7 linked regions of the Callithrix jacchus genome follow. The protein of the gene in region 1 interacts with the protein of each later gene in a biochemical or structural test. Links are inferred from orthologs where the notes say so. Each region holds a gene or a part of one and is shown in the gene's direction. Other genes may lie near its edges.

Evidence for each region.
Region 2: the proteins of DLG1 (region 1) and PKP4 interact in a test that uses a peptide from one of them, tested with the Homo sapiens proteins (2 studies listed by IntAct, with this or other methods). The link is inferred for Callithrix jacchus from reciprocal best matches to the Homo sapiens genes DLG1 and PKP4.
Region 3: the proteins of DLG1 (region 1) and KCNJ4 form a complex in vitro, tested with the Homo sapiens proteins (2 studies listed by BioGRID and IntAct, with this or other methods). The link is inferred for Callithrix jacchus from reciprocal best matches to the Homo sapiens genes DLG1 and KCNJ4.
Region 4: the proteins of DLG1 (region 1) and ATP2B4 form a complex in vitro, tested with the Homo sapiens proteins (2 studies listed by BioGRID and IntAct, with this or other methods). The link is inferred for Callithrix jacchus from reciprocal best matches to the Homo sapiens genes DLG1 and ATP2B4.
Region 5: the proteins of DLG1 (region 1) and IQSEC2 interact in a test that uses a peptide from one of them, tested with the Homo sapiens proteins (2 studies listed by IntAct, with this or other methods). The link is inferred for Callithrix jacchus from reciprocal best matches to the Homo sapiens genes DLG1 and IQSEC2.
Region 6: the proteins of DLG1 (region 1) and CYSLTR2 interact in a test that uses a peptide from one of them, tested with the Homo sapiens proteins (2 studies listed by IntAct, with this or other methods). The link is inferred for Callithrix jacchus from reciprocal best matches to the Homo sapiens genes DLG1 and CYSLTR2.
Region 7: the proteins of DLG1 (region 1) and ARHGEF26 interact in a test that uses a peptide from one of them, tested with the Homo sapiens proteins (2 studies listed by BioGRID and IntAct, with this or other methods). The link is inferred for Callithrix jacchus from reciprocal best matches to the Homo sapiens genes DLG1 and ARHGEF26.

Annotation. Positions count from the first base shown.
Region 1 is NC_133516.1:24,798,814-24,803,106, forward strand, and holds the start of DLG1 (disks large homolog 1), read left to right. Parts: upstream 1-1,493; 5' UTR 1,494-1,574; intron 1,575-4,293. UniProt on the Homo sapiens protein: Essential multidomain scaffolding protein required for normal development. Recruits channels, receptors and signaling molecules to discrete plasma membrane domains in polarized cells.
Region 2 is NC_133507.1:71,213,881-71,216,687, reverse strand, and holds the end of PKP4 (plakophilin-4), read left to right. Parts: intron 1-1,310; coding exon 1,311-1,559; 3' UTR 1,560-2,307; downstream 2,308-2,807. UniProt on the Homo sapiens protein: Plays a role as a regulator of Rho activity during cytokinesis. May play a role in junctional plaques.
Region 3 is NC_133502.1:209,372,827-209,376,884, reverse strand, and holds the start of KCNJ4 (inward rectifier potassium channel 4), read left to right. Parts: upstream 1-1,258; 5' UTR 1,259-1,282; intron 1,283-2,831; exon of another isoform or gene 2,832-2,959; intron 2,960-4,058. UniProt on the Homo sapiens protein: Inward rectifier potassium channels are characterized by a greater tendency to allow potassium to flow into the cell rather than out of it.
Region 4 is NC_133520.1:30,765,861-30,769,360, forward strand, and holds part of ATP2B4 (plasma membrane calcium-transporting ATPase 4), read left to right. Parts: intron 1-2,164; coding exon 2,165-2,362; intron 2,363-3,500. UniProt on the Homo sapiens protein: Calcium/calmodulin-regulated and magnesium-dependent enzyme that catalyzes the hydrolysis of ATP coupled with the transport of calcium out of the cell. By regulating sperm cell calcium homeostasis, may play a role in sperm motility.
Region 5 is NC_133524.1:53,587,831-53,591,330, reverse strand, and holds part of IQSEC2 (IQ motif and SEC7 domain-containing protein 2), read left to right. Parts: intron 1-23; coding exon 24-146; intron 147-1,142; coding exon 1,143-1,309; intron 1,310-3,500. UniProt on the Homo sapiens protein: Is a guanine nucleotide exchange factor for the ARF GTP-binding proteins.
Region 6 is NC_133502.1:67,304,573-67,308,660, reverse strand, and holds the start of CYSLTR2 (cysteinyl leukotriene receptor 2), read left to right. Parts: upstream 1-1,288; 5' UTR 1,289-1,528; intron 1,529-4,088. UniProt on the Homo sapiens protein: Receptor for cysteinyl leukotrienes. The response is mediated via a G-protein that activates a phosphatidylinositol-calcium second messenger system.
Region 7 is NC_133518.1:31,304,235-31,308,213, reverse strand, and holds the start of ARHGEF26 (rho guanine nucleotide exchange factor 26), read left to right. Parts: upstream 1-1,179; 5' UTR 1,180-1,761; coding exon 1,762-2,835; intron 2,836-3,979. UniProt on the Homo sapiens protein: Activates RhoG GTPase by promoting the exchange of GDP by GTP. Required for the formation of membrane ruffles during macropinocytosis. Required for the formation of cup-like structures during trans-endothelial migration of leukocytes.

The DNA of each region.
Region 1 (4,293 bases):
CACGGTGGCTCACACCTGTAATTCCAGCACTTTGGGAGGCCAAGATGGGCGGATCACGAGGTCAGGAAATCGAGACCATCCTGGCCAACATGGTGAAATCCCATCTCTACTATAAATATAAAAATTAACAGGGCATCGTGGTGTGCACCTGTAATCCCAGCTACTTGGGAGACTGAGGCAAGAGAATAGCTTGAACCAGGGAGTTGGAGGTTGCAGTGAGCCGAGATGGTGCCACTGTACTCCAGCCCAGTGGCAGGGTGAGACTCCATCTCAAATAATTGATTAATTTAAAAATTTAAAAAAGACCTGGAGTGGGGTGGAGGATGATCTGGGAGGTGAAGGAAATGAAACAAATGGAATCGGTTAAAGCAGTCTTGTGATTACTCTTGTATTGGACTTTGGAACAGCAGAAGTTCATGTATTTTTCTTAAAAATGCCCATCACCCCCTAGACTGATGGCCCACTTGAGCTGTATGTATACTGGTGGCAAACGAAAAACATTCAATGAAAGAAAATCTTATTTATGTGGTTTTAGTTAGCAAAAATTTTTTTAGAAGATAGCATCACTTTAAAACTCTAGCAAAACTTATTTTCAGTTTTTTTTTTTTGGTGCTTATTAACGAAAACCCTGCAATAAAACAAACAAACAAAACCTCTTTCCAACAGCCTGGAAGATTTTGCACCAAATCTTCCATATATAATATATATAATTAATTGTGATTACCTTTGGGTGGTAGAATTGGTGACCATTTTCTTTTGTTTGCCTCTCTGCATTTTTTTTTTTTTTTGGAGAGGGGCAGAGTCTCACTCTGTCGCCAGCCAGGCTGCAGTGCAGTGACACGATCTCAGCTCGCTGCAATCTCTGCCTCCCAGGTTCAAGCAAATTTCCTGCCTCAGCCTTCTGAGTAGCTAGGACTACAGGCACACACCACCATGCCCAGCTATTTTTTTTCTTTTTTATATTTTTAGTACAGATGAGGTTTCGCCATGTTGGCCAGGATGATCTCGATCTCCTGACCTCCTGATCCACCTGCCTTGGCCTCCCAAAGTGCTGGGATTACAGGCTTGAGCCGCCATGTCCGGCCTGCCTGTCTACATTTTTTAAAGCAATGAAGAAGAGGAAAGATGCCTTTAAAAATATATTCTAAGTAATATTCAGTGAAATGTAAACAGTTTGAGAATGTTTTTCATGATAGACACAGATTTGAAGAGAGGGAGAGTATTAGTTGGCAGCCTAGAATTTGCAGCTTGGACTTTATTTCTCCCTATCAAGATTATAGATTGGTTGTACCAGCCAGGGAGCAAACAGCTGACCTCAAATCACATGCCAATATACTCACAATTGAACAATCATTGAAGAAGCTATAAAGCACACAAAATGCACAGTAGTTAAAAATAATAAACAAATGACGCTTCTGTGTTTTCTTGCCTGAGAACAAGGGCCTGTTCTTCTAGTCTTTATAACAAAATAGTGAGACTCTGTGGAAAAAAATACAGCAGTTGGTAAATGTTCTAAACGAAGCATTGCCAGTACATCATAAACTCCGAGTGCTTCTGACTTCACCTGTGATTGGGTAAGAATGCTGACTGGCTCCGAGCAGGTGGCCAGTGGGCCTCTAGATATTAATTCATTTCAGAAAATGGCCATTAGGAAATTTCATTTTTTTCTTTCTTAAAGTCAAATTCCTGAATTTGGTTTTTAAAACAGGAGAAGTATTTCCTAGTGAGAAAGTGATTTATTTAGTTTTTCCACGTTACTGAAACAAGCTTATTTTTTTTTTTAAGGTAACATCGTTCAAAGACAGATTAGTTGATAAAAAACAGTTTAGAAAGACTTGCAAAGTTTCCATTTGGGAAGCAAAACGTCTTTCTATTGCATTTATTCCTGTGTGTTTGACATAGCGAGGCAAAAACAGAAGCCCTGCTCCGTCCTCCGAATCAGCTGCCCGCTTTGGTTTCATGGGTTTTGTTTCCCTTGCTACCTGGGGGAGAAGAGTTGTGCTGATGCTTACTTTTCGGACATCCAAATGGTGGGGATGGTTTGTGGCAACCCCTCCACTTGCCAGTCCCGAAATACTTTTTTAGTGCAGGGTCAGGCATCCACATTTCCCTGAGGGAGCTCTCCTGGATAGCTTGCCAGGACACCACAGTGTGCAACCAAATACTAGAGTATGAAATGAAAGAGGCGATGGCGGTATTTGTGCTTGATGGGCAGAGAACTGAGGATGGCAGGTCAGCTTGCTGGGCTCTATTCCAACAAATGTCCTTTAGACAGTTGATCTCTTTGCTGGGCTGAACTCTACTAGATACCGTGTGGGATTCTGGTGACAGGAGGGGAATAATTGGAGATGTTTGTTGATTTCAATGTCAGTTGACATATCTTTATTGGGCATCTGCAATGTGTTAGGTGCTAATAGATGCAAATAATTTTACAAAGAAGAAAGTTAGACCTATGAAAGTATTTCATAATTTACAGTGAGTTTTCCTTTGCATTACTTCAAAGAAGATACAAAGGCATGGTCCTTGCATTCAAAAATTCATAATCTATTAGGTGAGATAAAATATGTAGATAAATCATTACATTACAGAGTAGAATACAATACAGGTCACTAGAAAAAGGGCCAGACCCTGACCAGGGAATGAACAACTATGCTGGAGTCGCATGCCAATGCTTGCCCACCTCAGCATTCAAAAGAGGGACAGGTCACATCCAGCTCTGGTTCCAGCTGTGTCTGAGCAAGATGTACATGACAGAATCTGGATGTGTGAATAGAGAGAAGAGAGTGGTTGTACTTTTGTCACCTTCAAAGTACTTAAAGGGTCACACTCTTGGTTTTGGTTTCTGGTTCAACGTCTCCTGGAGGATGTGTACAACAGCCATTTGGTTGCTTTTGCAGAACCTGTACTTTTTTTGTTGCTGCTGTTGAGAGAGGGTCTCACTTTGTCACCCAAGCTGGAGTGCACTGGTGGATCTCAGCTCACTGCGACCTCTGCCTCCTGGGTTCAAGCGATTCTCCTGCTTCAGCCTCCAGAATATCTGGGACTACAGGCATGCACCACCATGCCTAGCTAATGTTTGTGTTTTTAGTAGAGAATGGATTTCACTATGTTGGCCAGACTGGTCTTGAACTCCTGACCTCATGTGATCCACTCACCTCAGCCTCCCAGTGTACTAGGATTATAGGCATGAGTCACCATGCCCGGCCTGAGCCTGTACTTTAAAATTTTAAATCATTTTTGGAGCCCACAAGCTAATCGAATTGTAGCTGATATTTCAAGTGGAATTAGCCTGGGTACAGTGGCTTATGTCCATAATCTCAGCACTTTGGGAGGCCAAGGCAGGCGGATGACTTCAGATCAGGAGTTCGAGACCAGCCTGGACAACATGGCGAAACATCATCTCTACTAAAAATACAAAAATTAGCCAGGTGTGGTGGCACATGCCTGTAATCCCAGCTATTCCAGAGGCAGGAGAATCACTTGAACCTAGGAGGCGGAGGTTGCAGTGAGCCAAGATCTGCCACTAAACTCCAGCCTGGGTGACAGAGTGAGACTCTGTCTCAAAAAATAATAATAATAATAATAATTCATGTGGAATTAAACCTCTTGACAGTGGTCTAAGTTTCACTTTTGCACCATTTTCTAAAGCACCACAATTTAGGGAAAACTTTTTTTCAGTTGTGGGGGATGATTTATAGACCTCAGTCACTTAGATGATTAACTTGGTCCTAAAATTTGTAACTCTTCAATACAAGTTTACAAAATTCATCATGGTGCCTAGGGGAGACCTCTCTTGGCTAAGGGATAGTTTTTCAGTAAACATTTTTTGTTTCAACTCTTTATTCTGATAAATATTCTAAAATGGTGTAGAAGGATTTATTGCCTTGGTAATGAGGAGACATTATTATTTTCTTGGGAAATGTAATATCATGTGGTGTCTCAAATTTCTTATTCTGAGTGCCAGTTGCTATTGAACAGGGCTATAGATAAGGAAGATAAGGGCGTTATAAACGAATGTGTACTGACGTCGGAAGTTTCCTTGAAAACAAGTAACTTACTAAATTTCCTCTGATATAAGTGTATGTGTGTGTTGTTCTTCCGATAATTTAAAAAGAATTTTAAAAAATAGTAATTCATTAGAGATTCTGATTAGTCTGATATTTTTGCATTTCCGGGTTTGCTTATAATTTACTGCATTCATCTGGTTCTGTGACTCTCATGTCCTGATGTGTCCAGAAAGGTCAAGACCTGCCTTAGAAAGTCTTCCACATTCATTCAGCGAGAGAAATGAAG
Region 2 (2,807 bases), on another chromosome or scaffold:
GAGTCCATGGCCAGGTCTCTGTGTCTCAGTGGTCAGACTGGACTCAGCCCCTGTCAGGATGAACTGTGGGACTGGTGGTTGTAACACACCTAGGTCTTGCTCTCATGAGGGGCCTGCAGTCAGTTTCAGGTCCTTCCCGATGCCACGGCAAACCTGGACCACCTGGTCTCTCCTCTTCCTTTTTAATCCCACGGAGCAGTTGGAGTTTCCTAAAACAAGACTGTTTTCTGTCCTTCAGATAAGGATGTGCTCTAAGACCGCTCCTCATCATCTTTTCTCTGTAGATGGAAGAAAAAGTACTTTCTAAGTTATTCATAAAAGATGCTATAGTTTTTTAGTCAGGAAAAATAGACCAGAAGCATAACTCAGGCTTGAAAAGAGAATTGGCTCTGAAATCCTTATAATGTTAGAATGCCTTGAGTTCCAGGACATGACATTGATTCCTGGGTGATAAATTCGTTACATCTTACTAAGTAGGGGGATTTGGGCATCAGCAGGAAGATAGACATAATAACCATCACAATTTGAAATTAACGTGAGATCAAAGCTAAGACTAGACAAAAGGAAATGGAGAACAGGGTGCCCTGTGTGGGCACCCCTGTGTACCTGCCTTGCCCACTTACAGATGGACTTAGCCTTGGCTTGAGGAAGCCTTTTCCTCTAGAACCGTATTTGCTCACATATCTCTCCTAATTTTACTGTTCTTCTGCCTTGAGATTGTTGATTCCTTTAATATTACGACTTACAGCAGAGTTTCTAAAGTGTGACTATTGTTCACATAGCCACATACATCTTTTAAAATGGAGGGGTGGACTCAATCTTCATATCTGAAGTAAATGTTTTAAAAGATGGTTCTGTAATTATACAGTTATCCAAGGCCCAGAAACCCAATCCTCGACTAAATTAGTGATATACTAATACCCTATGTCAAAGAAAATACCGAAACCATCCTCTCATTTGGCATGCCCAGGTAACATGTCCCTCCACAGCTGAGCAGACAGCAGGGCCTCCAGTAATGAGGGGAGGTCGCTGGGGCCACTTGCCCTGAGAGCTCAGGCTCTCCTGAGGCACCTACTTCTCTAGAGGTCTTAGGACAGGAAACTCAGGAGCCCGCCTGAGAATGTAGCGTGCAATCCTTAGAGTCCAATGGTAAACACACAGTGTGCGCCAGAAACAGCTTTAACCATAAGCTGCAAATATTGAATTCTGCTTTAAAAATATGAAGCAGGAAGCCCACATTAATTTTCCTAACACGTGTCTTTTTTAAAAAAAAATGCTTTTATTTATTTGCCTTTTCATTTTGTCAACAGCATCAACAGCTGTATTATAGTCAAGATGACTCCAACAGAAAGAACTTTGATGCGTACAGATTGTATTTGCAGTCTCCTCATAGCTATGAAGACCCTTATTTTGATGACCGAGTTCACTTTCCAGCTTCTGCTGATTACTCAACACAGTATGGACTGAAATCAACCACAAATTATGTAGACTTTTATTCCACTAAACGACCTTCTTACAGAGCAGAACAGTACCCGGGGTCCCCGGACTCATGGGTGTAGCATCAAGACGCCCGACAGAGGAACTTTTTCTTTCTAACCTTGTTTGGATTGAGGTGAAGTCCGTCTTGCTGATTTGATGATTGAAATATGAAAGTGAAGTGGAAGGAATGAGTGAAGTGCATTTTTTTTCTTTTTTGAGGAATTATCAGGGAAGTGAGGAAATGTTTGGGAGAGGACTTTCTAAGCTCTATTTAGTTGTTAGATCTAATTACTTGTAGATTCTGTAGTCTGGTGAAGGTGTGGGTGACGTGATGAGAGGTTTGAGAAATGGGTGAAATGAAATGGGGGATGTGTAGGTCAAATCCAATTAAAGATGATTTTTTTAATGTGAATAAAGTTATGTTCTGATAGTTTGTACAGAAAAAATAAAATGGATGCCCATGTTTTATCGCTATTACTAAATGTCAAGATTGTATGCTATTATGTCTTGTAAATTTCTTTTGTTGGTGTAAATATGGAAATGCCACATTGGTTAAGTGCCATCATTTGTAATGCAGTGTGTCACTTGAAAAGAGAGTTGAAGAAACTGACAACTTCAAAAAGAAATGGGAAGCCCAAGGAACTGTGAGCAATTAAAATCAAACTGCGACGTCCTTTGTCTCCACCATGCATAGTGTACTTTGGAAGCACAACGTCCAGGCTGGTACCGCAGCGCCATGCCCATTCCTCGCCTCGTTCATAGGACACTTCACTGCCATTTTCTATGCACATGAAAGAAAAATAAATGTGGAAATTTCATCCTTGGAAATGTGTTCTCTATTCTTTTTAAATTTTCTGTATGTATATGGAAAAACAGATCTAGTAAACATAAATGTAACTGCATGTAGGAAACAACATACATATATCCAACTATTTTGGACTTTTCCTAGTTTTATACAGTTAATACACTCTGTGAGATGGACCACACCAAAGAATTAAGCTATGAACTTTCCTCCTCTTGTTTTTCTAGGTATTTTGTTTCTTGGAATCTATTTTGAACCTAGTGCACTTAACAGTTTTATTATGTTTTTCTCAGACCCGTATGTACATATCATCACTCTTCACCTAAGGCAAATTACATCTGGCAGCCTGGTCATAACTAAACTGATACTTTTTTGGGCATCATTTTTAAGAACTCAGTAACTTCATAAGAACAATGGTTGGGCATTTATTTGGTTGGCACCAATATAACAAACCAAAACAAATTCTAACTTATTTATCTTAATTCCATGAGTCAGTAATTCCTGGGTTAGGAATGGAGTAGGGGGA
Region 3 (4,058 bases), on another chromosome or scaffold:
GTGTACTTGTGACACATGTTTACCCGTGCATCTAATGTCTTTGCTGATGTGTGCATGCCCCTCGGTGGGCATGCGTGGGATTGTACTTGTGGTGTGCACAAGTGGATGTAGAGAACTAGGAGAACCTGTGATCGTGTATGTGTGGGAGTGTGCTGAGGGGTCCTGGGTGTGGGGGCTTTTTCTCCCCCATCTCCTATCACCTGAGTGACCTTCTTCCCCAGCTGAGGACTGTGGCTGAGGTCACAGGCACGCATGGGACAGCTCCTGCCCTTCCATAGACCTGTGTCTTGGGCCAGAGTGGGCACCAGGGGCCAGGGTGGGTGGGTGAACCTGGGGCGAGGACTCATGTGCCACCCCCTCCCTGCCTGGTCTCCTCCCCTCCCCACAGCAGGAGCAGCAGCGGGAAAGGTTGGCGGAGGGGGGCTATTTTGGGAGCGTCTCCTTAGCAACAGCTGCCACGGCCGTCTGTGGCGGTTTTTCTATAGGTGCTAAAATATTCCACCCTGGTGACTACTGAGTGCTGGGGGGTGGGCGAGGGTGGAGGTGGAGGGCAGGAGAGACCCCTACAGTCCTCTGTCCCCAGGGCACAGCCTGCTGGGATGGATTCTGGCCCTCTGCCCTCCCAGTGACCCTTTAATTGCCTCTGGACCTTACCACCTGGGAGCTGCTGGGATTTTAGAGCTCCAAGGGTGTGTCCTGATCTGATTTCTAATCTAAGCAGTTGGACTTCCTCAGTTTGCCTCATCTGCAGAATGGGCTGGCTGGACTTTTTTCTTTTTTTGAGACAGAATCTTGCTCTGTAGCCCAGGCTGGAGCACAGTGGCAAGATCTTGGCACACTGCAACGTCCACCTCCTCCCAGATTCAAGTGATTCTCCTGCCTCAGCCTCTGAGTAGCTGGGATTACAGGTGTGCGCCACAATGTCTGGCTAATTTTTGTATTTTTAGTAGAGACAGGTTTTCACCATGTTAGCCAGGCTGGCCTCAAATTCCTGGCCGCAAGCGATAAGTGATCTGCCCACCTCCGCCTCCCAAAGTGCTGGGATTACAGGCATGAGCCACCACACCCAGCCCTGGCTGGACTTTAAGACACTCTCTAGGCCAAAAACCTCTGGACTCTGTGACTCTAGCATTTTGAAGTGGCCTTTTCCTTTTCCTCCTCAGCTGTCCACCTGCCAGTCCCAAGTCGCCCTCCCTTCCGCTCCTCTCCGCCCTCCACATGGGCTCTCAGGGCTGCTGTCGGACCCAGAAGGCATGAGAAGTCCCCCAGAGTGAGCTGGTTGGTGAGTACTCTGCTAGCCTGGAATGACCTTTCCCCTAGAAAGTGAGAGCTGAGCCTGGTTCAAATCCTGGCCCAGACAGCTGCTTACTGCCTGATTGACCCCAGACAAGCCCTTCCCCTCTCTGAGTGTTAGTTCAGGGTCCTCACCTGTGGGGTAAAGACACGCATAGCCCATACCCCATAGAGCTCTTGTGAGGATCAAGGGAGAGAACAGAGAGGAGATGGGCAGGACACATTGCCAAAGTGTATGGACGGACAGAGGCTTCACCAGCATTCCCCTCTAAACTTCAGAGTGAGCCTCTCTTCTCCAGACCATTGCTTCCAGCCACCCCAATCATGCCACCCATCCCATGACTCCCCATGCCTCAGTTACCCCATTGGTAGTAGGTGCCTGTAGCACAGCATTCTTGCAAGAATGAAAGGAGACAATGCCTGTCAATGTCTGGATAGTGCTGAGCTGGGGGCATGAGAGAGGGAGATTCAGGTTGTCCTCACTCCATGGCGGGGAGACGAATCTGTGCTGGATCTTGACAAGGCCCATTGGGAGACCCAGTCCACACTGTCCCATTACAGATGAGGCCTCTGAGGTCCAGAGAGGACATGAATCTTTCCCAGGGACACACAGGTTCTGACATCCATGCCTTTCCCCAACCCCCTCACATTCCTCCCAGGCCTCTGCATGCCCATTTCCATCTCCACCCCCCACCTCACACAGGGCTAGAAGCTACTCTCACATAAGGTGAACAATGTGGAGTCTTCCTTTAGTCTCTGATTATCCTCAAAACAGCTGCTCCACCAGGTCCAGTGGCTCACACCTGTAATCCTAGCACTTTGGGAGGCCAAAGGCAGGCGGATTGCTTGAGCTCAAGAGTTTGAGACCAGCCTGGACAACATAACAAAACCCCATCTCTACAAAAATTTGCTGGGCATGGTGGCGCACATCTGTGGTCCCAGCTACTCGGGAGGCTGAGGTGGGAGGATGGTTTAAGCCGGGGAGGCGGAGGTTGCAGTGAGCAGAGATGGCAGCACTGCACTCCAACCTGGGTGACAGAGCCAGACCCTATCTAAAAACCAAACTAAAAACAAACACACACAGATATTCAAAATAGGTGTTATGTTTTCCACTTGACATATGAGGAAACAAAGGCCGAGAAAGGAGAGGTGGGCTGCCCAGGGTCACGCAGGGCGGGAGAGGAGAGAAAGGACTCTTTCCTGGGGTCTCTGAACCTCTCCCTGCCTGGAGCTCCTCTGGTTGCCTCTCCCCACCTCCTCCCAATCCAGTCTTCTTGCAGGATGAGCAGCTGCCTCAGGGCACAGCCCAGGCCTGGAAAGGTGACCCTCCTTGCCCCAGAGCCCCCATCCCATCTTCAACTTTGTGCCTAGGGACCTGGCATCAGGGGGCTGATCCTGTGAGAGAAGATGCTTTGGATCTACAGACATCCCTGTATCCATGTTCCCCTCCTTTCTGCTCCTTCCTCCACCCCCTGCACCCCACACTCCCAGGACAGCTACCAGGTCAGGCCTGTGGCCAAGCAGGTCATTTGTCTCACCTTCATCCTCCCACTTTCAATCCATGCAAAAGGGTGAGAAAGACCAGGCACACATCTGTTGCCGACTGGGCACTCAGGCTGCTTGAATCTCTCCTGCATCCACGCACTGAGCGTTCATGTGATGGAACATCAGTCCTAGCTGTCTGCCTGTGAGGACACAGCAGAGTAACCAGGGAGAGGCGTGGAACAGGACGTGCGCTGTGGAGGTCCGCACAGAAAGATCCCTGAGAAAGGACGGTCACATGTATTGAGCGCCTACCATGAACTGCTCATTTTGTGGGCATCCACCTCATTTAATCTGCCTCTGGGGAATGGGGGACGTCAGGGTCCTCAATCTACAGACAGGCTAAATTAAAAACATGTTCAAGGTCAAGTAGCTCTCAGGTGCTTTTGAGCCTAGTTTAGCCTGACTCCTCAGCCCACTAAGCAAGAACCATACTTGTGCCCAGCCCAGGGGCTCGTACGTCGTGGGTGCCTAGCGCTGGCTGAATGAACGAGTGGGTAATGAATGACTTCTGCTGGGGTCATCAAGTGGCTTTCTCAAGGAAGTGGCACTGAGGCCGGGCTTGGGAAACAGCAAGGAGTCTCAGGGCAAAGAAGGTGCTAGGCGCATTTCAGGCAGGGGGGAACAGTGAGTGCAGGCAGAGAGGTGCAGAGGCCTGTGGCGTGTTCTGGAATCTGTGGAATCAGGGTGTACCTGTTGGTTTATGGGATGTCGGATGCCGGCTAAGGTGGGACCTGGCTATACCACACTGAGGAGCTGGGACTGGATCCTTTTGTGTAGGGCGAGCCCACAAGGAAGAGAAACACTTACGGTGGTTTGTGTGTTGCTGTTCTTATGCTGACATCCTTGGGGCTCAGAAGAGTCAGAGGGATTTCAGATTTCATAGGTTCTCCACCTGGCTTTGGGGTGCCTCAGTCTCTTCCTCTCTGCACTGGGTCTAGTCAGTGATAGCCAGACTCCCAGGGAAGTTCTTCTGGCTGTCTAACTGCAGGTGTTCTCTCCTCTCACTACCCTCGAGGCAGGAGCACTTTCCCTCCGGTCTCCTCAGAGGGCTAGAGTGAAGTGGCAGGATGGCCAGGAAGTAGCTGGCTCAACCCGAGCCGTGGGCGCTGGGGGTTCCCTGACAACCCAGAGTGTGGGGCCCAGGCCTGACAGCTCAGGGTTATGGAGAACGACGGAGAACAGGAGACTAGGGTTTGGTCCGGCTCTGTCATCTCTGGGTG
Region 4 (3,500 bases), on another chromosome or scaffold:
CCTCCATTTTGTCCCTGCAGCCCCGTCATCCACTTCTCCTTATTCTCTCTGTGGAGCTTGGTTGAATTTCCCTTTCTCTGATTCTGACCCTCCTCAGTTGCTAACCTTATTCCAAGACAAAAGTCGCCCCACCCTGCCTGTGGGAAACCCTTCAAACAGCCGCCAACAACTTCCAGTGCCAAAACCAGGACTAATATGCTTCAGCGTGTGAACAGCTTGGTGAATACCAACTCATTAATCACCACAGTAGGATTTCCCCTCTTCCCTTAAAGAGTAGCCCCCTGGGCACCCGTGAAAGGACCCAAATATAAGGAAAGCACTGAGCATAATTCTGCCTACCTCTTGGCCCTCTGGGAGAGTGCCTAGAGAGTATGTGTGTGTATATGTTTGTTGTCTGTGTTATGTGTGGTATGTATGTGGCATGTGGTCTGTGTGTGTGTGTATGTGTCATGTATCTGTGTGGTATGTATTGTGTATGTGGTTTGTGTTTGGTGTGTTTGTGTCTGTATATTGTGTATGTGGTGTGTGGCCATTCTCCTACCTCATCCTCCCAAGTGTGTGGTGTGTATGTGTCTGTGTGGATGTGGTGTGTGTGGTACGAGGTATATGTACACACTTATGTAAGGTATGTAAGCATACATATGTTGGTGGGAGGATGCTGGTAACCAAGTACTGTGTAGTGTCTGAAAACTTTGTGGCCTCACCTTTCTTATTCTCTCTCTCTTTGTTTATTTTTTTTGAGATGAAGTCTTGCACTGTTGCCCAGGCTGGAAAGCAGTGACACAACCTCGGCTCACTGCAACCTCCGCCTCCCGGGTTCAAGCCATTCTCCTGCCTCAGCCTCCCAAGTAGCTGGGATTACAAGCATCCACCACCACACCCAGCTATGTTTTTTGTATTTTTAATAGAGATGGGTTTTCACTATGTTGGCCAGGCTGGTCTCAAACTCCTGACCTCGTGAACCACCCATCTCAGCCTTCCAAAGTATTGGGATTACAGGCGTGAGCCACCATGCCAGCCTTCTCATTCTCTGTATATTCAACCTGGGTAGTAATACTTCTCTTAGTAGTTACTTAGTCCTTAATAGAATGGTAGTACCTTTCAGTGGTATGTGTCTGTGCCTCTGTGTATGTTTGTGTACATGCACATGCACATACGCACACAGGTGTGTACATGTGTGTGATAGAAAGGGAGGGGCACATGTGCTTAAAGGGGATGCCCACAAGTTATAGTCTCAAAGACTGCTCTGATGCTCTCCTAAAGCTCCTGGATCTTGGAATCAGGACATGTGTGATGATGTGATGATGCTCTGTCTCCATCTTGCATGACCTTGAGCAAGGAGCTTGTTCTTCCTGGCCTTTGTGTGTGAGCCAATGGATGGCAGCTCACTCTGCATTTAAATCACCCTAGCATTTACCTGTTAATGTGACATAAAAGTTCTGTGTGAATCCCAAGAACCACTTTAATATTTACGTTCTCAGAGCTGGGGCCTGGAGCATACTCAATCAGTAGCAGATGAGATTTTATGTCTGGTTAAGAATTTATCCAGCTTATACTTGTTATTAAGATAAGTGAGTGGTCCCATGGCAGACCAGTTTCATTTTGCCCATTTTAGACTGAAAGTTCCACCTTCTCTGAGTCCTGGGCAGATTGGTTGTCTCTAACTGAATCTCATACTTGTGTGAATCACGAAGAAGGGGATCTTTTTTATCTATTTATTTATTAAATTATTTAATTTTTGAGATAAGGTCTCACTTTGCTGCTCAGGCTGGAACGCAGTGACATGATCACGGCTCGCTGCAGCCTCAATCTCCTGAGCTCAAAACAATCCTCCCACCTCAGCCCCCTGAGTAGCTGTGACTACAGGTATACCACACCATGCCTGGCTAATTTTTGTCTCTTCTGTGGAGACAAGGTTTCACCATGTTGCCCAGGCTGGTCTCAAACTCCTAAACTTAAGTGATCTACCCACCTTGGCCTCCCAAAGTGCTAGAATTACAGGTGTGAGTCACCATGCCTGGCCTTTTTATTTATTTTATTTATTTTTGAGACAGTGTCTCTGTTGCCCAGGCTAGAGTGTAATGGCTCATTGCCACTTCAAAACTGCCTTTTATCATTTTCCATTTTTTCTGCATGTATTCATCCACTCCTATCTCTTTTTCAGGTCTATCAGGGAACCCTGCAGATCTGGAGAAACGTAGGCAGGTGTTTGGACACAACGTGATCCCTCCCAAAAAGCCCAAGACCTTCTTAGAATTAGTGTGGGAAGCCCTTCAAGATGTCACACTCATCATCCTGGAGATTGCAGCCATCATCTCCCTGGTCCTGTCTTTTTATCGCCCAGCTGGCGAAGAAAATGAACGTGAGTGTCCTAAACAGCTCAGTGTGACTCTGATTCTGGGTTCTTTCCACCACCAGCAAAAAGCACTTAAAACAGGTTATGTGGCTGACAGGTTATAGCTTAAAACATTCCCCTATTATCCAGAGTGGCCTTTCCAAAGGAAACCAACCAGCAGCTACTAAGCTATTCTTCCAACTCATCCTTATTCCAAGGGTTCCTCCCCACCCCACCCCCCACCCACTTTCTCCCATTAAATCCTTTTTCAGAATGTCAGGAATCTTCTACCCTTTTAAGAAATTTTATTTATTTATTTATTTATTTATTTATTTATTTGTTCATTCATTAATTCATTATTTTTAAATGGATTCTTGTTCTGTCACCCAGGCTGAGCGCAGCAGCTTGATCTGGACTTACTGCAACCTCCTGAGTTCAAGCAATTTTCATGTCTCAGCCTCCTGAGTAGCTGTGATTACAGGTGCCATCACGTCTGGCTAATTTTTATATTTTTAGTAGAGACAGGGCCTCACCATGTTGGCCAGACTGGTGTCCTAACCTCAGGTGATCCACCTGCCTCGGCCTCCCAAAGTGCTGGAGTTACAGGTGTGAGCCACTTAATAATTTATTAATAATAAAATAATTTTATTATTATGTCCCCAAACCAGCCTATTTAATAATTTTTGTGACATAGAGACAAGATCTCACTATGTTGCCCCTGTTGGTCTCAAACTCCTGGGATCAAGCAATCTTTCCGCCTCAGCCTCCCAGAGTTCCGGGATTACAGGTGTGAGCCTGTAATCCTTTCCACCACCAAAAAGCACTTAGTATTGGTGACTGACAGGTTATAGCTTAAAACATTCCCCCTGTTATCCAGAGTGGGCTTTCCAAAGGAAACCAACTAGTAGCTACTCAGCTATTCTTCCAACCAGGAATTCTCTACCCTTAATCCAACCAACAAAACCCTGCATCTTAAAGTGCCCCCCCACCACCAATTGTCTGGCTTTTTGGGAAGTAGCAGTGAAAGCCTGACCATGTTGGGAATCATAAGTGTGACCTTACATGTGGCTTGCCTAAATTTGATAGTTTGTACTATTTAGTCACGTGCATTTTTGGATTAACGTGAGTAGTTACACTGGTGATAAGACAGTACTCAATCCTGCTA
Region 5 (3,500 bases), on another chromosome or scaffold:
ACACCCCCTTCTCTGCTCCTTAGCTGTGTGGTGGATGAGATGGACTTCTCCTCCATGGATCTGGATGATGCACTCCGGAAGTTCCAGTCCCATATTCGGGTTCAGGGTGAGGCCCAGAAAGTGGAGCGACTCATCGAAGCCTTCAGGTGTGCCTGCCTCCCACTCACAAAGCTGCCCCTCCCTCCTGTGGGCATCGATGTACTATTTACAAGTCACTTCTCTGAGCCACATACTTTCTTGACCATAAAACAGAAATGATAAATCCTATCTTACAAGGCAATTATGAGGATCAGAGGTAGTGCACGTAAGGTATCTAGCTCAGCCCCAGGACAGGGGCATTCAATAAGTAACAACAACATCAGCAATAGTAGCTAACATTCACGGAGTGCTTACTAGGTATCAGGTGCTCTGAGCTGAGCACGTTAACGTGATTATTTCACCGAATCGTCACAACCATCTCATAAGGTAGGCGCTTCGATTGTTATTCTCATTTTACAGATGAGAAATCAGGAGTTTAAAACAAAAAGAAACTTAAAAAAAGAAAAAAAAAAAAGAGAAATCAGGAGTTTAGAGAGGTTAAGTAACTTGCCCAGAGTCATACAGGATTTGAACTTGTATGTGTCTGAGTCTACCCTTAACCATTTTACTCTGCCGTAAAGGCTTTGGAGATCAGATAGACCAGGGTCTAAATCCTGGCTCCGCCACTTTAGTGTATTTAGAAGAGAAACAGGAGTTGCTGAGCACTTGTTTCTCATAATGGGAGAAGGATTTGCTTTGCATTCAGAAATATCTGGGTTTTCATCCCGGCTTCACCATATACCAGCTCTATTACCTTGGGCAAGTTACCTCACCACTTTGAGCCTCAGTCACTTCATCTGTAAATTGGGACTGCCAGTAGCTTCCTTTCAGGATTATGATAGGATTACATGAAACAATGTACATAAACCCCCTGGAAGAGCTCTGCAAAAGGTGGCAATTGTGAGTTTTACATGCTGGTCTAGGGGAAACTCTGAAGAGGACAGACCCAGAGATCGAGGAAGTATTGCTTACAGGAAAGAGTTGGTGGTGCCAGACTGGGTGGATGGTGGGTAGGCAGAGATGGCTGGTTCCTGAATCTGGCTTTGACCCCTCCTGCCCTATAGCCAGCGGTACTGTGTCTGTAACCCAGCCCTCGTGCGCCAGTTCCGGAACCCAGACACCATTTTCATCCTTGCTTTTGCCATCATCCTCCTCAATACCGACATGTACAGTCCCAGCGTCAAGGCTGAACGAAAGATGAAACTAGATGACTTCATCAAGAACCTGAGAGGTGACTTCCCTATCAGCTTTTCCTGCCCTTCACCTGGGAAGGGAAACTGGGGGGTAAGGTGGGGAAGGATGCAGGATATCCCATCTGTTCCTTGGAACTTACTTTGTGTTGCTGTCACTTTCTGCCCTGGCTGGATGTTCCTAGGATATTCACTTATTAATTCTCTCAATTCGTCATTTGCCCACTGTACTGAGTATTTACTGCACTTCCACTGTGTACCAGGTTTCTAGGTCCTGGGGTTCAAGCAGTGAACACGATAAAGTCCTGACTCTTAGAACGCTTACTCTGATTCATTCATTCAGTCATTCACTTGTCCTTTCCTCACTCCCTCTTTCCCTCTCTTATTTATGCCCCCCTGAGGACTCATTTAATTATTTTGGGTACCTTTTCCTCTATTCATGCATTCATTTATCACTTGAACAAACAACCAGCCAGTCAGTCAACACTTAGCACTTAGTGTGTGCCAAGCCCCATGATGGGTGCCAAGGACAATGAAGGGGAGTCTGCCATAGTCCCTGTTCTGAGAGAGCTCCCCGTGTTGGGGAGAGGTTGACTTGTACCCAGATAACTAACATAAGGCAGAAAGTGAGCAGTGACATCAGAGAGGCTGAAAGTGCAGTCAGAGCTCAACAGAGGGAGAGCCCACCTCTACCTAGCTTCCCAGGGGGGCAGTATTTGTATTTTAAGGTGGGTCTTGACGGCATGGAGAAGGTGACACAATGGAGATAGAGAGCTTACCTAGCAGTGAGAATAACAAAGGCGCAGAGGCAGGAACATTTATTTTCTTTAGGGAACAATTGACGGCTGAATGCTCATGCCTGTAATCCCAGAACTTTGTGAGGTCAAGGCAGGTGGATCACATGAGGCCAGGAGTTCCAGACCAGCCTGGCCAATATGGGGAAACCCTATCTCTATAAAAATACAAAAATTAGCAGGCATGGAGGTGCATGCCTATAATAACAGCTACTTAGGAGGCTGAGGCAGGGGAATCACTTGAACCCGGGAGGCGGAGGTTGCAGTGAGCCAAGATTGCGCCACTGCACCCAGCCTGGGTGACAGAGCAAGACTCTGTCGAAGAAGAAGAAGGAGAAGAAGGAGAAGACGGAGAAGTGGAGGAAGAGGAAGAAGAAGAAAAACAATTGGGATGAGGTCACTGATGGGTTGAGAAGGTCCATTGCAACCAATATACGAGGGACTTGAATGCCAGATGAAAGGTGTCGCCTTGCTCTTTTTGCTTATTCTATTGATGTCGAGCCCTGCCTATCACCAAAGAGCAGCCTACTAAAAATGGTACAGATGTCAAGATTATTTAAACAGAAAAGAAAGAGGAAAATAGAGGCAAAGAAAAAAAAGCAAACTGAAAACAAGACGAATTGGCTGCCCATCGGGGTTTGCGCAGCTGAGGCTGCTATGGTAAGAAAGTCAGTGTGACGTAGGATGTTCCTTTAGCACCCGTCCAAGGAGGAGATGTTTCATTTCCAAGGGAGAAAACATTTTCTCTTTTTTTGTTTTCTGTTTTTCTTGTTTTTTATTTTTAGAGACAGAGTCTCACTCTGTCACCCAGGCTGGAGTGCAGTGATGTGATCACAGCTCACTGCAGCCTTGAACTCCTGGGCTCAAGTGATCCTCCCACCTCAGCCTCCTGAGTAGCTGGGACTACAGGCATGTGCCACCATGCCCAGCCAATTTTTAAATTTTTTGTAGAGACAGGATCTTCCCATGTTGCCCAGGCTGGTCTCAAACTCCTTGCTTCGATTCAGCCTCTGAAAGTGCTGGGATTACAGGTGTGAGCCTCCACAACCTGCAAAGAAAACATTTTCTCTAGCAGAGTATTTAGAGAGAAGAGTGAGTGGGTTTCACTCAGCAATCGAAGTGGAGAAGGATGGTGAACATGGGAAGACGGAGGTAGATCGGAGGCCATTTGGAGCTGTCTGCTAGAATCCTGCCATCATTCATTCATCCATTCTTTTTCCTTCTCTCTCTCAACATATGTGTGTGTGTGTGTGTATCTTTCTCCCCTCTAATTATTAAATAAATAAACAAATAAATGAAGGTAATACATAATTATTTCAGAAATTTTGAGAGATTCTGAAAATTAGAAAATTTCTTTTTATCACCCAAAGTTCGTCCCCTAGAGGCAATCATAGTTAATGTTTTGGTGCATTCTACTCTTTTCCCCCATGCATACATA
Region 6 (4,088 bases), on another chromosome or scaffold:
AATTAAATGTTGTTTCAAGCTTTTTGCCCCCTAAAGATGAGAATGATAATATAATATGTGTAGACTGTGAGTTCCGTGAGTTCTAATTGAGATAAATAAAATATTAGAAATAGGATCCCAGGCCCAGGAAGAACCTTGTCTTCAGAGGAGCAACCTTGGTCCCAGCCCCTCTCCACAGCTGCATGAAGAAGCTGCACAGAAAACCCTCACCCTCACCCCCAGTTCTGGAGTGTGAAGGTAAGATCTACATCGTCCTGGTGATAGTCATTGTTGGAGAACTCTGGGACATGCAGGAAATAGATCCAGGGCCTCTTCCTTTTTATTGACACAGCAGCAGCAGTTTGGAGCTTTCCAGGAAGACCTACTTTTTATTTCCCCCAAGTTTCAATATTTGGGGCACTTGTGGGAACTAGAGATGGGGTGAGGTTTGGCTCTTGGCACTAGGCTAGAGTTGGGCTTGAAAGGGATGGGGAAGGGCGCTAGAATCAGTGGTCTTCAGAGTTGAAGGAGATCTTGGGTGAGGGGATAGCAAGAACCAGGGCCTGTCTTTCCCATGGCCATGGGGCAGCAGAAGGCACAAGGAGAACAGCGTATGTAGGGCTGTGTTGGAGATGGTTAGGGAGCTCTCCAGACCCTGCTCTGGGTTCCAGGCCTGGTGTGACAGTGACTAGCTGTGTGCCATGACCACGCTGCTCAACAAGTCTGTGCCTCTGTTTCTTCATGGGTGTCATGAAGGGACTGGACTCCCTGTTTGTTTAGGTCTGTTCAGTTCCAGCGAACGAACTACAAACAAGCAAAAAAACCAAGCCTGCCTTGTTTATTTTCAAGAAAGCATTTGCTAATTTCTTTCCAATACAGCCAGTTCCCTTATTTACCATTTTGTGCTCCTCTCAGGCCCCAAAATAGTGCTTTTTATTTTTAGAGATAAGCAAATAGTTCAGTTTGACTGGAGCATGGGAAGAAAGTGGGAAAGCAACTGATAGGAATAGAACTTGAAAGGAAATCTGGGGTTGGACTATGAAGGCCAAATTACTCCTAGACGTGGGCATAAGAACACATTGTCCTGGTGCCATTCTTTGACCAGAGAGAACTAGCCCCTTGGGACAGAAAAGGGCTGAATGAGGACCAGACACAGATTAGAGCTCTCCCTGATCCTCATCCAACCCCTTTCTTGACCCGAGGGGGCTGGGAGTCTGTGGGGCTAAGGGACACTTCCTTGTTTGTACTGTGCTCTGGATACTTGGGAAGTCCCCAGCCAAATGTCCTCAAATGCTATGAGCTGTTCCCTAGTTGCATCAGAGCATAAAGTTTGTATAGCCCTACGTCCTACAGGTGGCCAAGAGCAGCTGCTTTCAGGCATTGGGGACAAGGACATGAGGGCTAGAATTCCCCATGCCTAAGTGTGGAGCTCCTCATACGTGGGAGGGAGCTGGGAGTGGGAAGAGGACGAGGACAGCTGCAGGCTTTACCAGCTCTTCTGAGGTGGCCACATTCCAGCCCAGACCTCAAACACAAAGGAGTCTGAGAAGTGAGTACAAATGTATAGTATGGGGATCTGACAATTTAGAAATGAATATTTAATGCTACAAAAAAGTAGTGATGGTGGGCAGGGCATGGTGGCTCAGGCCTATAATCCTAGCACTTTGGAAGGGTGAGGTGGGCAGATTAAAAGGTCACGAGTTTGAGACCAGCCTGGCCAATATGGTGAAACCCCGTCTCTACTAAAAATACAAAAATTAGCTGGGCATGGTGGCGCGTGCCTGTAGTCCCCGCTACTCAGGAGGCTGAGGCAGGAGAACTGCTGGAACCCAGGAGGTGGAGGTTGCCGTGAGCTGAGATCGTGCCACTGCACTCCAGCCTGGGCAACAGAGCAAGACTCCATCTCGGGGGAAAAAAAAAAAAGAGTAGTGCTAGTGATAAGCTCTACAAAACAGACTACAGCAGAGTTAGGGGGAGTATATGTGTGGATAACTATTTTAGAAAGGGAGGCCAGTGAAGTCTTGTGGGAGGTAGTGGCCCTTAAGTAGAGAGTTAAGTGGAGTGAGGAAGACAGGGCAAAGGCATCTCAGCACAGGGACTTGGACCAGCAGCAGGGAAGGCCATGTGGCTAGGGTCATACATGCATAAGAAGGGCCAATCAGGTTGGGCTTTTGCAGATCATGGTAAAGATTTTTATTTTGAATAATGTGTGTGCTCCTTTTTACCAGCCATGAATGCTATCCATTTGTTTATGTGATTAACTCATCAAAGTTTATAAAAGTTATTTATTACTCTTTAAGGAAGAGAGGTGTTTATTTTGAGAATCGTGGGAAGTCACTGCAGGGTTTTTAAGCAAGGGAATGAACGATATGACCTGCTCTTTAAAAGCATCACTGTAGCGCAGTAGAGCAGTGAGAGTAGAAACAGGAAAGCAATTAGGGTGTTACTGTAGCGTTCTTTTTCCTTTTTCTTTTCTTTTGAGACAGAGTCTCACCCTGTCCCCCAGGCTAAAATGCAGTGGCACGATCTCGACTCATTGCGACCTCTGCCTCCCGGGTCTAGCAATTCTCCTGCCTCAGCCTCCCAAGTAGCTGTTATTACAGGCACCTGCCACCTTGCCCATCTAATTTTTGTATTTTTAGTAGAGATGAGATTTCACCATCTTGGTCAGCCTGGTCTCAAACTCCTGACCTCAGGTGATCCACGGACCTCAGCCTCCCAAAGTACTGGGATTACAGGCTGTGCCTGGCCCTCTTTTTCTTTTTTTTTTTTTTTGCTTTTAATATTGATGTCAGTATTTCTTTTTTTTTTTTTTTAATTTTTATTTATTTATTTATTTATTTTTTTTTAGGGAAAAAGAGAAAAAGAAGGGGAAAAAAAGAAAAAGAGGGAAAAAGGAATATTACTTCATTCCTAAAATGGGTTTCAATAATGGCCGATCAATATTTTGAGTGTTTAAAGTGGTTAATGCATATTTTATGTGTTTAAAATGGAGACCTCTGTTGTGTTTATTTGTTCTGGTTCTGAGTTCAAGTCCTGGATATCTTATCAATTTGTTGTCTCGTTGAATCTAAATCTCATTATGTGTCTTATGTATCTGGGTGTTAAGATCTCTTATTGTTGTATTAATCCTTTTACCCTTGCATCCTTGTAGCTTTGAAATCTATTTTATTAAGTGTGAGAATTGCAACTCCTGCTTTTTATTTATTTATTTTTGCTCTCCATTTGGTTGGTGAGCTTTTTTCCATCCCCTTGTTTTGAGTCTTTGTATATCTTTAGATATATCGTTAGATTTTGTGGATAATGAATATTTTGTGTGTTTAAAATGGAGAGCCCTATTGAGTTTATTTGTTCTGGATCTTAGTTCCAGTCCCGGATATCGTTATCAATTTTCTGTCTCGTTGAATCTAAATCTCATTATGGGTCTTATGTATCTGGGTGTTAAGATCTCTTATTATTACATTAATCCTTTTATCCTTGTATCCTTGTAGCTTTGAAATCTATTTTGTCAAATGTGAAAATTGCAACTCCTGCTTATTTATTTATTTTTGCTCTCCATTTGGTTGGTACGTTTTTTTTTTTTCCAACCCTTTATTTTGAGTCTATGTATATCTTTGGATATACCGTTAGATTTTGTCTGTATCTTTTGATTGGGAGGTTTGGTCGATTTAAATTTAGGGTTGCTGCCGTTTGATATTAACTGGCTATTTTGTCCTTTCATTGATAAAAATTCTTCTTTATGTTAATGCTCTTTACTTTTTGGTGTATTTTTAGAAAGGGTCATACTGGTTGTTCCTTTCTGTGTATAGTGCTTCTTTTAGAAGTTCTTGTAAAGCAGGCCTGGTGGTAATAAAATCTCTGAGTACTTGCTTGTTCCTAAAAATTTTTATTTTTCCTTCAAATGTAAAGCTTAAATTGGCAGGATATGAAATTCTGGGCTGAAAGTTCTGTTGATTAAGTATATTGAATATTGGCCCCCACTCTCTTCTAGCTTGTAGGGTTTCCGTTGAGAGATCTGCTGTAAGCCTAATAGGCTTACCTTTATGGGTAACTTGATCTTTCTCTCTGGCTGCCCTTAATATTTTCTCCTTCGTTTCGATCTTGGTGAA
Region 7 (3,979 bases), on another chromosome or scaffold:
AGACATAGCCATCTTTCTGCTATTTGGCAACCAAGCACGTTGGAAGGAATGGCCACTGTTTTCACTTCATTCCTGTCATTCATTCACTCTCACCCATTAAACAAATATTAAGTACCCACCATGTGCCTGAAATAAGAAAAAAAAAAACACGACCTCTGCCCTCATGCAAATTAGTGTAACGACAAAACAGAAAATAAACATAAACACATAAAAAAATATATGTATATATACAAAATTTGGTAAGTGCAGAAGTAGCTGGGAAAACAACAGGGGCAATGGTATAAATGAGGGGACAGAGAAGGCCTTTCTGAGGCAGTGACAAGTCAGACGGTCAAGAAGGAACGAGAGAGAAGGTTCCTGAGGCTGTCAAACTTTGAATGTGGCCGAATAAATCATAAGGGAGAAAGTGATAGCGGAAAAACTAGGCTGAAGAGGTAGGGCAGTAAGTAGTCCAGTGTCTTGTAAGCCAAGGATTTTGAGTTTTATTCTATGTACTGCTGGAAACCAATATTTTTCTTGTCGTGTAAATTGAGTTTATTTTTCATAGATAGTTTTCAAGATTCAAAGCATACAAGTACCAAAAATAATTATATGAAAACTCTCCCTCATTCCAGTTTCCTAGCCACCCAGTTTCCCTCCTCACAGCTACTAGGCGTCTTTCCTACGGAAAGACTTTAGGCACAAACAAGCACATCACTCTGTTTATATTATAATGTATTTTCAGCAGTGGAGCAGCCCATCAGATAAGACCACCTGAATGCTGAAAGGGCGTGACTCTGCGTTTGAGCTCCGCACTGCTGCCCACGCATCTCACAAATTCTGCTCCGCCGCGTTCTCGGTTTTAACACGGGAACTCTAGGGTTCAGGGCTTCGTAAACTCCTTTTCGGCAGGGCTCCATAGCTTGTTCTCAAGTTGTGTCCCCCAGCAACGACCCCGCGCGCCTGCACTCCCGCGCCGCCGCCACCACCAGTCCGCAACTTCTAGCCGCAAACGCTGGAGCTCAGAACCCAGCTCAGGTGCGCTAGTTTGTTTCCCTGGGAGACTGGGGCCGACCGTAGGCACGCGGGGGCGGGAAGACAGCTTGTCTTGGCTGCCACTGAGGCGGATCTGGGCGGGGCCGAAGCGGGGGCGGGGCCAAGTGTGGGGGCGTAGTCAGGCGTGGGGGCGGGGCCGGCGCCGTCGTCGGCGGCAGAGCTCTCCCGAACTCTCGCGGCCGCACTTAGGTCCCGGACCCGGGCCACCCACGGGGCAGTGGGTGCTCCTTGGCCCCGGACATTGCAAGCCCCAGAAGGTAAATTTGCCTGGGAGCCGAGCACCTGGAACACGAGGGTACCCACGATGAGGGCGGGCGGCTGGATGGCGACAGAAGGGAGCGTCCCGCGGTCGCGAGAAAGCTGAACTCGTCCCAAGTTTCTTGTGCCTCGGCTTGCACCCAGTGAATTGGTGGCGGGCTCGTTTGGTGCGGGTGGTCTTTTGGGGCGGGAGGGACGCGAAGGTGATTGGATTAATTCTCCTGGGCCGCAGCCCAGATTTCTGACCGGGAACGCGCACCGCTGTGGTGCAGTTTTTGCCCGAGAAAGGGCGGGTTAAAGTGCGGTGCAGTGGAGTCCTGCGCTCCAGCAGGGGGACCGCCGGATTCGAAGCGCACGAGTCTGCCAGGCGTGCCGGGCTGTCGGGAGGCACAGTACCGTAACTTTTTTCCTCTTTAGGCAAGACTAACTTGGCGTTGCTCCTCCCGGGGCTGACCTCGAGGCCCGGCTATGGACCGCGAGAGCGAGGTGGATTTTTCTAGCAACAGCATAACGCCTTTGTGGCGGAGGCGGTCGATCCCTCAGCCCCAGCTGCTGGGCCGGAGCAAGCCGAGGCCCCAGTCCTATCAGAGCCCCAACGGGTTGCTGATCACGGATTTCCCAGTGGAGGACCGAGGGACGCTCCCCGCAGCGCAGATTCCCGCCCAGGTGCCCACCGCTTCGGACAGCAGGACGGTGCGCAGGAGTCCCCTGCTTCTGGGCACCCAGCAGAGAGCGGTGGCCAATGGTGGGATGGCCTCCCCGGAGTACAGGGCTGCCTCTCCTCGACTTCGACGACCCAAGTCACCCCAGGCCCCTAAAGCGGTGCCGGGCGGCTCCCCGAAGTCCCCAGCAAACGGCGTGGTGACCTCCCCTGCGCCGCCGCCGGGGCTGCGCCCCCCGCGGACTCCTAACGCGCCCGTCCCCTGCACCCCCGAGGAGGACCCGACTGGGTTGACTGCCAGCCCGGTGCCTTCGCCCACTGCAAATGGCCTTGCCGCTAATAACGACTCTCCTGGCTCGGGTTCGCAGTGTGGCCAGAAGGCTAAGGATCCCGAAAGGGGGCTCTCTCCTGCGCCCCAGAAAAGTTCTTCGGAACATAAACTCCCCCTCCAAAGGCTGCCCTCCCAGGAGAACGAGCTCCCCGAGAATCCTTCCGTGGTTTTGAGTACAAACAGCCCCGCCGCTCTCAAGGTGGGGAAGCAGCAGATCATTCCGAAGAGTCTGGCTTCAGAAATTAAACTCAGTAAATCCAACAGTCAGAATGTGGAGCCCCACAAGAGGCTGCTTAAGGTGCGCAGCATGGTGGAGGGCCTAGGAGGACCCCTGGGTCACGCAGGGGAGGAGAGTGAGGTCGATAACGACGTGGATAGCCCAGGGTCTCTGCGGAGAGGCTTGCGGTCCACGTCTTATCGCAGGGCAGTGGTCAGTGGCTTTGATTTTGACAGTCCTACCAGCTCGAAGAAGAAGAACAGAATGTCCCAGCCTGTTCTGAAAGCAGTAATGGAAGACAAGGAGAAGTTTTCGAGTCTGGGAAGGATAAAGGTAAAAGTGGGCAGGAGTGTGGGATGCCATTCACTAAACGAAAAGTAGATATGTTGGGGGTGGGGAGGGGGAGCATAGAGGAAACCAGAAGTCATTCCCTTATAATTCTGTGTTTTGCTGTTGATTACTAGTGCACATCCAGCTCTTTCTTGGCCACTTTGATGCTGGCAGGCACAGCAGAGTTTAATGCAACTCTGTGGGAAGAAGTGAAATTCATCACTTTTAACTTTCTAAGCTCAGGCAAAATTGGGGGGACAAAAAGGAAATATTTATGGCAGATTATTGGCTGAGTCTTGACCATAAAAGAGATAGCTGAAAGGGGGAGGAGCATGCTTAGAACTGCACTGGACTGCCTCAAGTTGTCTAGTGTTTGCTTAGAGGTTTCAGCCAATGGTAGCTGTTATCACAGCTGATTCAGAAAAATACTGATTCCTGTTTGAGCCTGTTATTTTCTGCTTTTACTTACTGAATTGTTTTTTGAGTGGTTATTACACACTTGAAGTCATTCAGGTAAAATGCGAGTCTTAAAATCAATTGCCAGGATCATAAAAAACACATATATTTTGTTATCCCTTTGCTTGCTTGTTTTTGTCACCAGGCCTTTGGTTGTATGTTAGTCCCGTTGTAGGCTCATTCATCCTTGAGTGCATTAACAAGTTGGTAGCTGAAAACGTCAGGTTAGGGTGACACTGTGTGGTATTGGTCACCTATATTGTCCCGTTAGCTGCACTTACCAAAATATTGCCAAGTATGACAAAGAAATAGGAAAACTTAAGAGGGAAATTTTGGAGTGCGTGCTGCCGTCCACAGAAACAAGACAGAGCTCAGCAATAGGGCAGAAATCTTTTTGGCAGCCACCTATTTTCTTGATTAATCAGAACACTGGAACTAGACTATATAAATGTCACATATGTAATATACAAGCAAGCCTGTTTTATTTTAGAGCCTATGGTCTTAAAGAAAAAAATTACATAACATTTTAAGTGTTTTTTTCCAACTCTGCAAGTATAACAAAGTTCAATTTAACAGTGATGGTGAATCACAAGTAGTAAAATGAACTGACCTGCTAGTCATTTGAGGATTCTCAATCTGTTTTGACAGGGTGTGAGGGATCTTGAACATTTTATTTCACTATTTCAATGAA